Daphnia pulex: one gene and its partner. The protein of the gene in region 1 interacts with the protein of each later gene in a pairwise test. Links are inferred from orthologs where the notes say so. Each region holds a gene or a part of one and is shown in the gene's direction. Other genes may lie near its edges.

What was found.
Region 2: the proteins of DAZ-associated protein 2-like (region 1) and CLK4-associating serine/arginine rich protein-like interact in a two-hybrid assay, tested with the Homo sapiens proteins (2 studies listed by BioGRID and IntAct). The link is inferred for Daphnia pulex from reciprocal best matches to the Homo sapiens genes DAZAP2 and CLASRP.

What each region holds. Positions count from the first base shown.
Region 1 is NC_060021.1:6,408,334-6,414,945, reverse strand, and holds DAZ-associated protein 2-like, read left to right. Parts: upstream 1-2,652; 5' UTR 2,653-2,810; coding exon 2,811-2,835; intron 2,836-2,916; exon of another isoform or gene 2,917-2,936; coding exon 2,937-3,175; intron 3,176-3,241; coding exon 3,242-3,382; intron 3,383-3,464; coding exon 3,465-3,647; 3' UTR 3,648-3,827; downstream 3,828-6,612. Other genes in the region: serine/threonine-protein kinase PLK1-like, read left to right, coding at 1-215, 278-373, 436-842, 921-1,079, 1,144-1,297, 1,360-1,606, 1,671-1,880; uncharacterized protein LOC124193795, read left to right, coding at 4,858-4,926, 4,994-5,191, 5,251-5,349, 5,413-5,629, 5,696-5,820, 5,883-5,992, 6,055-6,346; extensin-2-like, read right to left, coding at 6,544-6,612. UniProt on the Homo sapiens protein: In unstressed cells, promotes SIAH1-mediated polyubiquitination and degradation of the serine/threonine-protein kinase HIPK2, probably by acting as a loading factor that potentiates complex formation between HIPK2 and ubiquitin ligase SIAH1.
Region 2 is NC_060022.1:6,844,111-6,852,094, forward strand, and holds the start of CLK4-associating serine/arginine rich protein-like, read left to right. Parts: upstream 1-3,902; 5' UTR 3,903-4,147; coding exon 4,148-4,191; intron 4,192-4,253; coding exon 4,254-4,308; intron 4,309-4,392; coding exon 4,393-4,490; intron 4,491-4,561; coding exon 4,562-4,752; exon of another isoform or gene 4,753-5,046; intron 5,047-5,109; exon of another isoform or gene 5,110-5,562; intron 5,563-5,723; coding exon 5,724-5,957; intron 5,958-6,021; coding exon 6,022-6,197; intron 6,198-6,261; coding exon 6,262-6,347; intron 6,348-6,453; coding exon 6,454-6,996; intron 6,997-7,060; coding exon 7,061-7,351; intron 7,352-7,409; coding exon 7,410-7,464; coding exon of another isoform or gene 7,465-7,468; intron 7,469-7,661; coding exon 7,662-7,722; intron 7,723-7,784; coding exon 7,785-7,839; intron 7,840-7,932; coding exon 7,933-7,983; intron 7,984-7,984. UniProt on the Homo sapiens protein: Probably functions as an alternative splicing regulator. May regulate the mRNA splicing of genes such as CLK1. May act by regulating members of the CLK kinase family.

The sequences.
Region 1 (6,612 bases):
CTAATGGAATTGCACAAAAGAAGGAAAGCTGTAACTGAACCAGAAGCAAGATATTTCATGCACCAACTTCTATTGGGTGTAAAATACCTTCATGAAAACAAAATGATTCACAGGGATCTCAAGCTTGGGAACTTGTTCCTGAATGATAACATGGAACTTAAAATTGGAGATTTTGGTTTAGCAACAAAATTAGATTTTAGTGGAGAGAGAAAAAAGTAACAGCAACCAAGTGTAGCTGCATGGAATTGTTTATAATTTATTTTATTTTTTTACTTAGAACACTTTGTGGTACTCCCAACTATATTGCTCCAGAGGTTCTCAACAAAAAAGGCCATAGCTTTGAAGTTGACATTTGGTCAATGGGCTGCATTTTGTAAGACCTATTTTTTCTTATTCTTTTTAAAATATAACTTCACTTTTGTATTAAATCCTCAGGTATACTTTACTTGTTGGTCGTCCACCTTTTGAGACGCAGTCTCTCAAAGATACATACAGTAAAATCAAACGAAATGAATATCATATTCCCTCTCGGATCGGGCCTCTTGCCCGTGCTCTTATAACTCGAATGTTACAGGGTGAACCAACCTGCAGGTATAATAACTTGATATTAGTGTTGTGTAATTTTAAAGATTTTCAGAATTATCTATCTAGACCTGCGGTCGATATTGTTTTGAATGACGAATTCATGACATGTGGTTATATGCCAACACGCTTGCCTTTATCATGCCTCACGATGGCTCCGAGATTCGATGCCAAATTGAATAGCAGCATTATTGCTGTTCGTCGTCCACTGGGCGAAGTTAACAGAGTCCATTTACCTGGAACTGCTGAGCATCCACAAGGTTCTTCAAACACTTCCAAACAACACATTGGAGCAGATACTAACAATAAATTTGTGTGTGTGTGTTTGCTTTGTTTAGGAGATGGATTGGCGCCTTCCAACGAACCTAACCATGCTGAGAATGCCGGAGCCCTCTACACGGCTGGACCTTCTCCTGAGAAACTATTGCGTGAGCTTCAGCAACAGCTCACCCGCCTCTTCAGTGCAAAACCTGCGGAGAAGTTCCCTCTTATGATGGGTGCGTGTTTAAAGTATTTAAATATTATTAAAATTGCTTTAACTTATTTAATTGTTGATCTCAGACGAGGCAGAGGATCCGGGTTCAGTGCCTATGGTATGGATTTCTAAATGGGTAGATTATTCTGACAAATACGGGTTCGGCTACCAACTCAGCGATGATACAATTGGTGTCATTTTCAATGATTTAACGAAACTTTTGCTGTTGGTTGACGCAAAGTAAGAGTTTTACTTTTTATTAATAATTAAGACCTAAATGCCAACTACAATAATTGCAATAGGACCATTCAGTACGTCGAACGCAATGGAAATGAGTTGTATTACACTATGGATCAACATCCGCCTACCTTGGGTAAAAAGGTGAAACTGCTCGCATATTTCCGCTCTTACATGCAAGAGCACTTAATCAAGACTGGTGCATCCGTTGTTCCACGTGACGGTGATGAACATCTTCGGTTGCCTTTCCTACGTCAGTGGTTCCGCACATCTCGAGCTGTCGTCATGCACCTAACGAGTGGAACGCTACAGGTAAAGTTATCTCATCAAGTCTATTTTGTTCATTTAATCAATAATTAACTTTTTGTGTTACTAGATTAATTACTTTAAAGACCACGTTAAATTGATCCTCTGTCCACTCATGGGAGCTGTGACAGTCATCGACGAGAAGAAAAATTTCCGTACCTTCAAATTTTCTTTGCTGGCTGAACACGGTTGCAATCCTGATCTCTTATACAGACTGCAATACGCACACGAAAAACTGCCATTTTTACTCTCACCGTTAGTAGATACTCAGGAAAAGTAGAAATTTATCGCTGGCCAACAGTGATCGTCTTTCGCTTAATCAAATTTGCCCCTCGCTGTCTTTTAATTTAATTTTTTTTTAGATGGCCATTCTTGACTTAATTACCATTCAATTAAGTTACGTGTCTCCTTCAAATTTTATAATAAGTGTGAAATTACTTAATCCCATTTAGGCTTTAATCCACGAACTTATCTTTTATTATGTCGCCCTTAATTTCGAACTTGAAGTTAACAAGCAGTGTTACTACTTCATCTCATTTACGAAATTGTGATGTATTTTGATTTGTTCGTCTCAAGTACATGCCTACCTCGGATTGAATATGAAGTGTGAAATTACAATACCCTGATGCCCCCTCCCTTGCCTTTATCTTAACTTCTGTCTTCCTCTTGTACGTCTGGCAATTCGCGATTTATAGAATTACACTACATCATCACCCCTTGCATGTCTTCAGTTGTGATTGCCTCAAATATTTTGCATTGTTTCTTACGTAGAATGGGAATCAGCCTCGAAAGTCCGGACGAATCTCCGGGAATACCAAGTACCTAGAAAAATACAACACCTTGACATGAGTTGTTTTTGTTATCATATACACTGTTATTTCAATTTTAAATCATTCTAAAAATATAGTATTCCAATAAAACTTGTTGACTGTAAGCTGGTTTTGACTTTTGAGACCGCAACGGAAATGATTTTAAAAGAAATCGATACTGATTCAAAATATGGCAACGTTTATGTTATCAACTGTTTGTTTTCTGTTGATAACGTCTGCTTGCGCAACAAAAAAATTACCAATCGTGAGTCAAAAACGTTATTAGAACACGTACTGACGCACTAGTTGCTGACGTTTCTTATTAAGAAGTGGATCAGTTCTGCAAAAATACATAGCTGACATTCACTCTAGTCCAAGTAACCCATCAGCAAATTGAAGAAATGCCAAAGAAGAATGAAAAAAAGGGTAAGATTTAATCATATAAAGTAGTACCATGATGTATTAGGATACATTTGGCTATAACAGTTTAAAAAAAAACTTCCTTACTTTTCAATAATGTCAATCAGCAGCAGCTTATCCAACACAACAGCAGCAGCAGCAGCCTGTAGGGCCTCCACAATTGCCATACCCAATGTACCCACCTGGAAACAATATGGTGAATCCAGCTGTAGCAGTTGCCTCCAGTCCTTACAATCCCTATGTGCCGGTTATGTCTGGAATGCCGCCACCACCACCAAGTTATGATCAAGCAATGCACCACCCAGTTGCCCCACCTAACTATAATGCATCTTACATTCCAGTTCAGGTAAGAAATGTTTAATTATAAACATTTCTTTAGTAAATTTTATAAACAAGACTTATTTTTCTATAGCATATCCAGCAGCAGCAGCAAGTGCCCATGAATGCCCCAGGGCCTTACTATCAACCCTATCAATCATATCAATCCCATCAACCCCATCAACCCCAAGTACATGTGCAGCAAGTCCATCCTCAAGCTACTTTTGTTGTTCCAGTGAGTACATATTACATTTCTTAGTTCAACCAGTTAAATTGTCAAAGTTTTATACTAATTCTTATTTAAAATAATTAATTAGAAAGCATTCGATGCTGGTGCGCGTTTCGATTCAACGTCACAAGTGAGGATTCCTCCACCTCCTCCTGGTGTTGCACCCAATGCTGCCCAGTTGGCGCACGGATCTGGGCATAATGTAGTATTAGGTCAAAGACAGGATCGGTTTTTCACTGGTGGTTCGGATGGAGGTGCTACATTTTGGTGAAGAAATTCTTGCAAACTGCCATACCAACAGCAACAAAATGCATACCCAATTATACCTATTAAATTCAATAAAATCATTAATTTGTTAGTTGTGCGCAAAAAATCGGAAACAGTATTACTGTTATAGTACTCTTAGCCCTTAAAGAAAATGTGTGCCATGACATAAATATTTCTAACATTTGCTTTTGTTTAGTCTTTCATTGGCCGGAACTTATTCATAATCCTTCACCAAACAAAAGAATTACACAACCTTGAAAATAATATGGGCAAAGCAGCGTACCTGTAATTTCTTTTCTTATCTGCTCCATAAGTCTTCCGCCGAAAGGAAATGTGTCGTAAGGCGTCCATCTTCCGTTCGATTAAAAATCCAACCCGATTTAGTGCTCAACTGCGACAGTGTAACATTACACCGGCCCATACAAATTCGGTGGAGAGGTACAACAACTGGCGGTCTTCCTTTAAACAAAGTGGTCACATGGTATCACCATCTGCCTATACTTGCAAATTTGTAATTTAATTAGCATCGATGAGGATGGGACAAGAACTATACAATTTTTTTTTTAGTTATGTCAGACTGAAAACAGATAAAGATATCTATTACCTAATACGTCTGATGAAAGACAAAGGATTATTATAATAAATTATTTTGATTTCACATTCCGGTTAAACAAATGCGTAAGTGAAATCCACATATACATACACATAGGTGTAATGTAAGCGGAAAAGTGGCTTCACATTTATCAAGAAATTCTCTCGAGCTATTGCAAGTTAAATCACAGCTCAGTTATTTGCGATTTATCTAAACTTTGGTGACGCACGTCTTCGGGATTTGTTTTTATCAAAGCGCTGTGTCAACGATACTATCTGTATTATAACGACACGTAAGAAGATTATATAAAAACTATCAACAACGCGCGAAGGTGGACCAAAGAAATTGGCGTCAGTTTTATTAGTGCGCGAGAAGTAATTTATTTGGTAAGAAGGAATTCTCTAATTTGCAAATTTTCTATTCCGGCTAATAACTTCTAAAAGAAACATGCGCAAAGTGCACCGAAATGAAATGAGTTTTGGCTCACAAAAGTGGATTATTTCTTACGTGTTTGGCCCTTAACAAGATTAAAACTTGACCGATGTTGTAAGGATTCTTGTGGACGCTTTCATTTTGAAAAGACGACTGGATCCATTTCCGCTTCATCTTTCGAGAGAGCAACATGGAAAACCGAATTTTCCTACCAGTTATTTACGTTCGAGGAACATTCTATCAAGTCGGCTACGATGTGGTAAGAAAAAGAGGAAAACAAAATTCAATCCTAGACTTTCTAACTTGACTTTTCAACTATCCGACAGGGCCACACTTTTAAACATCAGATAGAAGAACTAGTTCGAGACTCGAAATTTTTGAACGACGAGCTGTTGCCAGCCTACAACACAGTTGCTGGACTGAAAATCTACGACGACACGCTAGCTCGAATGAAAGCCAAGTTCCCTTATTACGTCAATGAGTTGCAAGGAATTTCTGACGGCAGTCAAGTGCCCTTTTACAAGGTCCAGTTTCAAATACTTTTTAAGTGGATGTTAATAATTTTCCAACATTGTCTATTTAGTTGATGCTACTGCACATCGATAGCATGATATTAGAGGCCTCGTCGTCATCTCAACTATCAGGAAACGGTTGTTCGAGCGTCATGTGCAACCACGAAAACGCAAGTTCTAATTCAACTAATTATAAAAGTGAAAGTTTAAAAGAAAAATGATCTTACTTTTAGGTGGTTTTGGGACACACGGAAGACGCTTTTGCAGTAACTCTCAACCATCTGTACATCGTTCACGCTGATATTACCGAAAAATGTGGACGTCATGAGAGATTCTCGTCGCTTTGTTACGCTGGGCACTTGCCTGGCTTCTGCATGAATATTAATGAGCACGGTCTCGTTTACACCATCAATATTATAGAACCTGTCAGGGTCCATAATGACAAAACACGTACTTGATAATTAAATTAATTTTCGTTTGATTAGTTTAGACTTGCGTTCCTTCTTTTTTTTTCAGCGCGTCATTTCCTGACAAGGGCGATGCTTAGCGCTCGGAATTTGGTCGACGCTCAGGCCATTCTTCGTGACAGAGGAACCGGATCTGCTCACGGATTTTGCGTCAACATGTCGTTCATGAAACAAGTAAAATAATAAATTATCAGAAAAGTTAGTTAAATTTGGCATTAATCAATATACCAAAACAGGAAGGACCAATCCTCTTTCACAGCGCTGAAGTAGGACCTGCGGAGAATAACGAGTCGCAACTGTCCATTTTGACTATTTCGCCTGGGGAGAGTCATGTTCGCTGCAATAAGTATACAACAATTTCAAACAATGTTCAGCACAATTTTACCACAAATTATTTACATCGATTAGATACTTGCGACTGAAGATCAACGAGGATCATAACGGTTTGGCTGTACTCAGCAGTAACGGTCGCCATCATGTAATGGAAACTCTGGGTTTACCTACTAATATCGGAGAGGTTGTAGACATGCTGTCCAACGACGATGATCAAGATTATCCGATTTACCGTCGCGGAACGGAGAAGGATATCGTATTGACGATCGCTACTGGAATTTTTGATTTCAACCGCAGGGAGTGGCGTCTCTATGTCGATAATGCTAAGAATAGTCGTTCCATTGCCACATTCTCCATGAATCTTTAAACTTTCAGTTCTAATGTTGACTATGTTTGTCTAACTACTTTACACGACTGAAGAGCTGAATCCCTCCTTAAGGTTGAAATACAATGACTACAAGTTAATACCAATTGCAGTTAGCGTAACGTAATCTATTAACATTCTCTGATAAAGATATTCGAAATAACAATTCCAAGGTAAAAAGCTTGTACAACTTAGAGCTATTAATAGACTGGAGGAGCATAATAGCTCGGTGGAGCGTAAGTGGGAGCTTCGTATTTGTAGGCTGCTGT
Region 2 (7,984 bases), on another chromosome or scaffold:
TTTTCCTATATCCCCCCTCCGCTTTTTTTCGGTAGACATGTATGTATATATAGCCTATATAGAAAGAGAGGCTCGACCCTGTCGCCCAGCATTTTCTGCCCGGCCCAACTTTGAAAACTTTCCTTATTTTTCTGTTTCGTGTGCTGCTGTTCCTTCTCGCATCAATAAGTCACAAGTTTTTTTCTTTGCCTTCTTCTTCTTCTTCTTCTTTTCTGTTTGGTCTTTTCCATTCGGCTGCCGCTGTGAGTAGGAACCCAGATTACACCAACGACGGAGAAAAGAAAGTTAAAATGTGAAGGATGAATTAAACAGTGGACGCCTTGGGTATATCTTAAGTTCAGCTAGACTCATCGTCGTAATAAATATGGTTGAACGCATCATAGACATTATTTTCATGAACTGACATCTAGTGAGTTGCATTCCGAATTTTTCTTTCGGCTCAATCTTACTGCGACGTGCAAATCAGCAAAACCAATCCATCATTTAATTTGTTATCATTTTTTCTTACTGGTGCTATACGTTTGGTCATTATATGTGATTGATTAACGAATTCACAAACGCTCTTAATTTTTTGTTTGCTTTCCATCATTCCTTTTACTAGTCACAATGGCAAATTGGCTACCTATGATGTTTCCTATGTAAAAAAAAATGCAAGAATGCTAAATACAGATGTTACGCTTATAAAATAATATGACAATTAGGTTTTTAGCGGAAAAAATGACTACTGCTGAGATTTATTCAAGCAAAGAGAATACGATCAACACTTGTGTATACCACAATTTTTTTTAAATTCAGTGCTTGTATATCGAGACTTAATTGACTTAAGTATGAATAAGTCTATTCTTTTCTCAACTGAAGGAATAAAAAAAAAATTCCCGTTTCGGATTTTCAGGGAATTTAAAGTTTGCTTCAATTTGTTTAATTTTGTAATTATATTCAATTATATATTTAATATTTACTTTGCGGCTTGCGCACTAAAATTTTTATCGTTTTTTGCTCATGGGAAATTCCTGAACGTTATAGGTAGTGTTGAGGTGAACGCTAGATGGCACAGGAATAGGTGATAGAAATTTAAAAAAATACCGATTTCACAAGTTTCCTATTTTCGACAGAGATTGGTTTGAAGGCCTAAGGAGGCAAAGACCACCAGTTGGCAGTTGCCCAACAGAGATTTAAATCGAGAAAGCGGCTGTCTGCATGCTTGACTTTTTCCGTTTTTTATGGATAAGATGTGTAAATCTGACTAGCCTTAAACCATTGGAAAACTGATCTCCATGACTTGATTTTTTCCCAAGGAGAACTCAAGCAATATGCTTTGTCCATGGTTTCGAAATTAAAATTCCCATTCCAAGCACTACATTCTTCAGTCATCCAGTTTTTAGCCCTTCATTTTACTTACAGCCAACTCAGCTATGACGAATAACTACGACAATGTCAAAATCACTGGCGATTAAAATCAGAAACCCCTTTTTTCTAGCGATTTTTTTTTTTGACTTTGTGGTCACCATTCTTTTTCTTTAGTTTTGTAATCTTGACGTGAGATCAAACCATAAATATGACCAAATTGCAATGAATATTTTACCATTTTCTTCTTGACAAACTCCCGGTAAATTTTTGCAAGAATTCGTGAAAAATTTCATCTCATCTTGAAAAATTAAAACGGTGTAGCCTAGACTTTATCTTTTTGGCCGTTTATATTTTTCAAAAAAGATTAATTTTTTATTGAGAGAGCGATTTTTGAAATTTTTCTAATTGATTTTGACAACCAACACCATGAAATAAACCGGTGTAAGTCGGTGGGTTACATGTTTATGTGTTTATGCCAACAAGCTATAAAATATGTTTTACTTTTTCACGCTAGGGTTACCTTCAAGGCGTGCGTGTAACGTACGTCAACTTCAACTGGCCGATGATGAATTCAAAATGAAGTGGCTTGTGCCCAGCTTGTAGCCATAAATATAGCGACGCGAAACTTTCCAACTCATCTTCACGAGATGTATTCAAACTTGATTATAATTTTTCTTATTTTCATCTAATTAGAATTTTCCCCACATTTGAAAAGCACATTTGAAGCTGTAAATTTGATCCGTAATAAGGTTTCCATATTGAAAAATTTTGCGATCTGTGGATATTTGTATAGTCTGCTATTTAACTTGATAGTAAACTAGATAGTTACGTGGAAATAAAATTTCAGCAAATGAATAGACTTTGGATTGGAGTTGTGTTTAATTGTTTCTTTACGGTGTACCAATATAATAGAAAGGTCGTATTGTGCGATCATTTTGCGTCAATACCATCCAAATTTGCAATGCGGTTTTCACGTTAGTGGGAAAGTTAGGCATAACTCGATGCGGAGAGGGTTTGACACAGAAAAATTTTACATCCCTCCAGCGTATTCCAGTAGTAACAGGCTGAATTTCTGTCTTGCTTGTTATTGATATTTCCTATTTTAAGAGTATTACTATTATTATTATTATTATTATAATTTTTTTTTTAAGTTTGAAAGCTAAATCAATCGTAATTTTCAAAAGGAGAATCTCATAGCATCACCCCCACAGGAAGCCAATATATGGAATGGTCGCATACTCCGATTCAGATCATCTAAAAGTAATAGAATAACTCACATTTTGCGATAAACTCCTTGATTTTTTCCTGATTCTTTTTTTCTTAATAGGGTGTTTCGTCAACAATGCAAGGTGTCCTGAATGATTACTGAAAAACCCGCGATGCCACCCTTAATTTCTTTAATTCATCATGTTTTTAAGGACTCGATTGTTGGATACCGAATTCAATATATTATTCTAATGCCACCATATCAAGGTTGATTTAGAGACTTTTGAGTGACTGGAGATAAATTGGATTGGAGTTCTAAAAGAAGTTCCTAAAAAATTACTCAGGCAAGATTCACATTTATTCTATGACGTCATATTGGGTAGGTGGGTGTGTGGTAGAGATATATGAGTATAGAAAGTATGAGTTGAGGTTGAGGCGGGGATTCAGCCCAAAAAACTTTAAATTAATTGTAGTCCAAGATCTTTTTTTGTTGGACTCCCAGCCGAATCGTCTCATCACAGTTTATTAACCCCATCTCTCACCTTTTCAAAGAAAAAGGTTTTTGATCAAGTGCCAAAAAGGAACCTCAAGCTTCGCCGGCATTTTCTTGATTTAATTCTCTTCTCAACTCACCGCGGTTAGACTCCACCTCTCCGGAGTCCGGACCATCTTTGAATCATTGGAACTCATCATCAATCATATACATGAGCAAGTTGCAAGTTTATTTTTTTAATTTGAAATCCAATTGAAGAAATACTTAGCAAATAGATTTATTTGGGCTGTCTTATTTTTTTTTGAAATTTTGCTCGAGCAAACGCTTGATTTATTTTGAAGTAGTCTTACCAATCTTGATGTGGTATAATTGACTACATATATTTAACGGTAAATGTCGTTAATTGACTTTGTTCTTCACTTAGTTCACTCAATATTGCGTTAATTTCCAATCTCACATTTAACCACTAGTTGTAGTTTAACGCTAGCTTGCATCATTAGACATCGGTAAACCAGGAAAATTGTTACTCTTCTTGTTACCTATTCGTATTTTCCATAAATTAACGGACCATTTTATTACTTAATAAGTATTCTCTAAGTTGAAATTGAGAAATGTGAAAGCTGTGTGACGTACGGTTAACCTACAAAATGTTGTCGAGAGAAAATGCTGTAACCATATGCTCAAAAGATAAAAACTAAAAAGGAAAAAAAAATCTTTTCCTATAACGCTCATTTTTCCACTGCAGTTACTGATGTAAAAGCTGCTAATACATTAGAAAGTTGGACTGTCGAAACGACAGGAGTCGGGAGAGAAAGTTTTGATATTTTGAAGTTTAAGGCCGAGGGTTTGGCGTTTTGCATACATGCGTACATGCGATTTGTTTTGTTTTTTGTTGCAACACCTAAGGCATATAGTACTTGTGTGATCCGCTTGGTGGCTCCTACCAATCTTGTAGAGTATTTTAATGAAGGATGATTAGTCTGCTGTTACTTTGAAGTTTTTCAAAAATATAGAATTGTTGATAATAAGTGAGTAAAAACGTATTCTATACAGTTCAGAAAGTATAGGATTCACTGAAAACGAAGATTTCGACCCATCAACATGTGGCATGAAGCACGAAAACAGGAGCGTCTCCTGAAGTCTATGTATGTGCAAATGGCATTAGATGTCCTTGGCTTTCTAATTCTGAGCTCTTTTTCAATTTAAGGATGGTAGATCACCGAAGGCGAGCTGAAAGGCGTCGAGAATATTATGAGAAAACAGTCAGTCAACAATATAACAAGCTTAATAATTTTATTTTTTCCACCCACAAAATTTAAAAAAAAAATTAATGCTACAATTTTTAGAAAGGAGATCCTGCCCAATTCCTTCAAGTTCATGGTCGCCCCATGAAAATTCATGTTGATCCAGCAATAGCAGCTATAGCGGACAGTCCTGCTACAATGTATAATGAGGGCTCTAAATATCTTGGATCTCTGTACCTATTAACTTTGCCCAAAAAACTTACTTTTACAGGATGCCTTGGCAAGGACAACCAGAAATCTTGATTGACCGGTTTGATGTTAGAGCACATCTAGATGTTATTCCTTGTCGCCCCCAAAAAGATGACAGCGACACTGATCAGGATCCTGGTGAGGAGGTGTGGGAAGAAAGACAAGCGAGCTATGAAAGATACAGAATCCTTGTACAAAATGAATTTATTGGAGGTAAGACATCTCTCAAAGTTCTTAAGATACATTTAGAAAATAAAATCAGTTGACTGAAATCACTCAGTGGTTTGTATGGACAATAATTTACATTTTTCAAAACATGCCAAGATTATGCCTTATTGTAAACTGTATTAAACTGAATAGCTTATGCATTCTCTTCACGAAATTGTGAATATGGTAAGACCGATCCTCTCCTGGTGTTTCCTCCAAATAGTGACCGGGAATAGGCGCCCCTTCAGTTAATGTTGCTGTCACAAGAAGTAGAATGATGAATTTTGCTATTAGTGCACTCTGAAAAGAAAAGGGTGAATAACTTGAATATCCAGACTAAATTTTATAATAAATATTTATTACCTTAATCCGGAATGGACAAGAAGGACAAGCTTCCCTGATCTCCATTAAAAAGCTCTATGTTTTCACCATCAATCGCAAAGAACAGCAAATAAGTTTATTGTTCGATCTCTGTATTTTAGTCTGTTTTTCTCCACTTTCCTGGAGAACAGAAGCTGTCATCACCATTGAAGTTTAAAAGAACAGGTTATGCCGCGATACCCCCAGAACTGAGATTGACGAAAAACAGATTCCGTAGATCTTCTTTAGAAAGTAGGAATGATAATGCCACACTGGAATCCGTTCTTGATTATTTCTTTTCGTTTCGTCCTTTTTTTTCTTGGCACTAAAATCGCGCTCTCTCTGACTAACGAGACAGTTGGCGTTTTCACTGTGCAAGGCCGCTTAAACTTCAACCACGCTGCTCGCTTTCTTGAAGACGAATGCATGCGAACGGTACCTCCGTGTTTGACAAAACCCTTTTCTCCTTCAGCCTTGTCGATTGCGAGAGATAGCAATAATGAATGTTGACCTAGACAGAATATATGTAAGAACTTGTAAGGCCTGGAGGACTTTTTACTTTTGTTTTCTATGCTTTCTTTTCATTAACTAGTTTTTTGTGTAATATGCATTTTTAGTTTCAGAGGAAAAGTTTCTACATCAAATATTGCTTGAAGAGCAATTCGGACCAGTTCAAAAGTTAGGTGAAGAGGAAAAGAAAAAAATGCTTGCGCCGAAGAAAGCGGCCATTGGGTTCACTTATGACGATTCCACGCCATCCTCGTCAGCCGCAGCATCAACTTCGCATAATATTCCCGTGGTTCCTCCCGAAGCGACTGAAGAAGAAGAATCCGATAGCGACATTGATTTGGGTAATATTAGTCAAATACAATCAAATAATCGAAAATATCTGTGAAGACATTGATGATCTCGTAGATTTATCAATTGCTGTCGATAAATTGACAACTGAGCAAATGCACGAAGTCAACAAATGTGCACTTCACTATGGGTTAGGCCGGCAGGACTTCATGTCACTACTCACTCGTGATTTGGATGAGCAAGAGTCATTACGAATCGCTAAAGAGGAAGAACAAGAACGGGCCATGTATTCTGTAATATTGTAAAAATATTTCAGGTTTAGTTTCTAATAACTAACTATTAGACAAAAAATCCTAGGGGAGAAAAGCAAGGAAAGAGCGACGGGCGTTTAGAGAGCAAAAGCTGCAAGCATTGCTTATGAATCGATGTCTGAGTCCTCCAAGGTAAAATCACCCTGCATAATTTTACGTTCATATTTTTGAACAATTTGTTTTTTCCTTTCTTATTCAACATTCTTGTTTGCTTCGTTTTCTTTCGTGATGTTTTTAGTTACGCTACACGAGCTAGCCCAACTTACGATGGACAACTTCGCCGCTCGAAATCAGTGTCCAAGTCACGTTCTCCTTCACCCTTCGAAGGTGGAATCAAATTTATCACATCTTTTGGTGACGAAGATTCGGATCCAGGAGGGAAAACAATTAGCTCTCGGTCTCCGAACAAAACTCGCGATAAAGATTTACCAAATAAGCGGCCATTTGCCTCCACAACTTTTTTGGCTCGAGACAGGGGTGGTCGTCCTTTAAACAGTGGTCGTGACACAACTAAAGTAAATGACAAACGACATTCCCGTTCGGGAGATCATCGTGCCAGATCCCCATCACCTTCCATTTCTAGATCCAGAAAAGATAAAAAATCCGGATCTTACTACAAAAATGAGCGTTCTAGGTCTCGCTCTCGCCGAAGATCACGTTCACGTCATCGTTCCTCACGTTCGCGCTCAAGATCTCGTCGTCGTTCTCGTCATTCAAGATCACGCTCTCGGTCGTATTCGCCGCGAAGTAGCAGACGGCAAAGGAATCGCTCTCCGCCTCGGTACAAAATTAATTTCACGATTAAATTCCTTCGTAAAATTTGAATATTAATTTTTAATTTTTAGTGAGCGCAGTCGAAGAAAATCGTCATCGTCTTCATCAAGCTCATCGTCCTCACGGTCCTCATCATCTCGTCAGTCAATCCGTCGTTCCTCTTCTCCCATTCGTCCACCTCCGTCATATGCCTCACTTGCTCGAGAAACACGCCATTTTAGTCCACCCCAAATATCTAACCCATTACCTGCTCCTCCTGTACGTCGCTATTATGGTCGAAAAAAGAGCGACTCTGATTCGTCTCTCTCGGACAGAGAGTCTACGTCGCCATCCAAACCTACAGCTTCTAATTCAGCATCAAAGTATCTTATCATTTCCTTATGTTAATCTGAAGAGCTGTACACTATATTTCTTTTTCAGGCCTTCAACTCCATCAGTGACAGGTTCTAGTGGTAGAGGCACTGGTGCAACCAAAGTCAGTAAGATATCAATATTTGCAGTGTCAGAATCTATTGTTAAGGAGTATTTTTCGTGTTACTTGTAAATGTTGCAAAGACAGTTAGATTTATTAAGTTATTTAAAAGAAAAGTCCTGCCTTTTTACTAATTTTAGTCATTCGAGTTCACGTGCCTTTTTGAAAGATGTTAATATCCACGCAATATTTTAAAATAGAATACAATGACGCCACAGGAACGACTAAAGCGCAAGATGCAAGCAGCTCTCAACAAACAATGTACGTTGTTATTGCTAGATAAAGCTTTCCATGACTAGATTGATATGTTGATATTGTTACAGACAAGGCGGATAAACGGGCTGAAAAGGAAAAACTACAAAAAGTAGAACAGGAAAGGTAAAATTTGGGCATTAACAATATTCGTTAATGTACATTTAAACACTTATTTTCCGTTCAATAATAAAAACAAACTTTGTTAAACAAATACAGAATGAATCGCGAGGAAGAAATGCGCGAGCTTGCTTTACGCTTACGTCGAAAG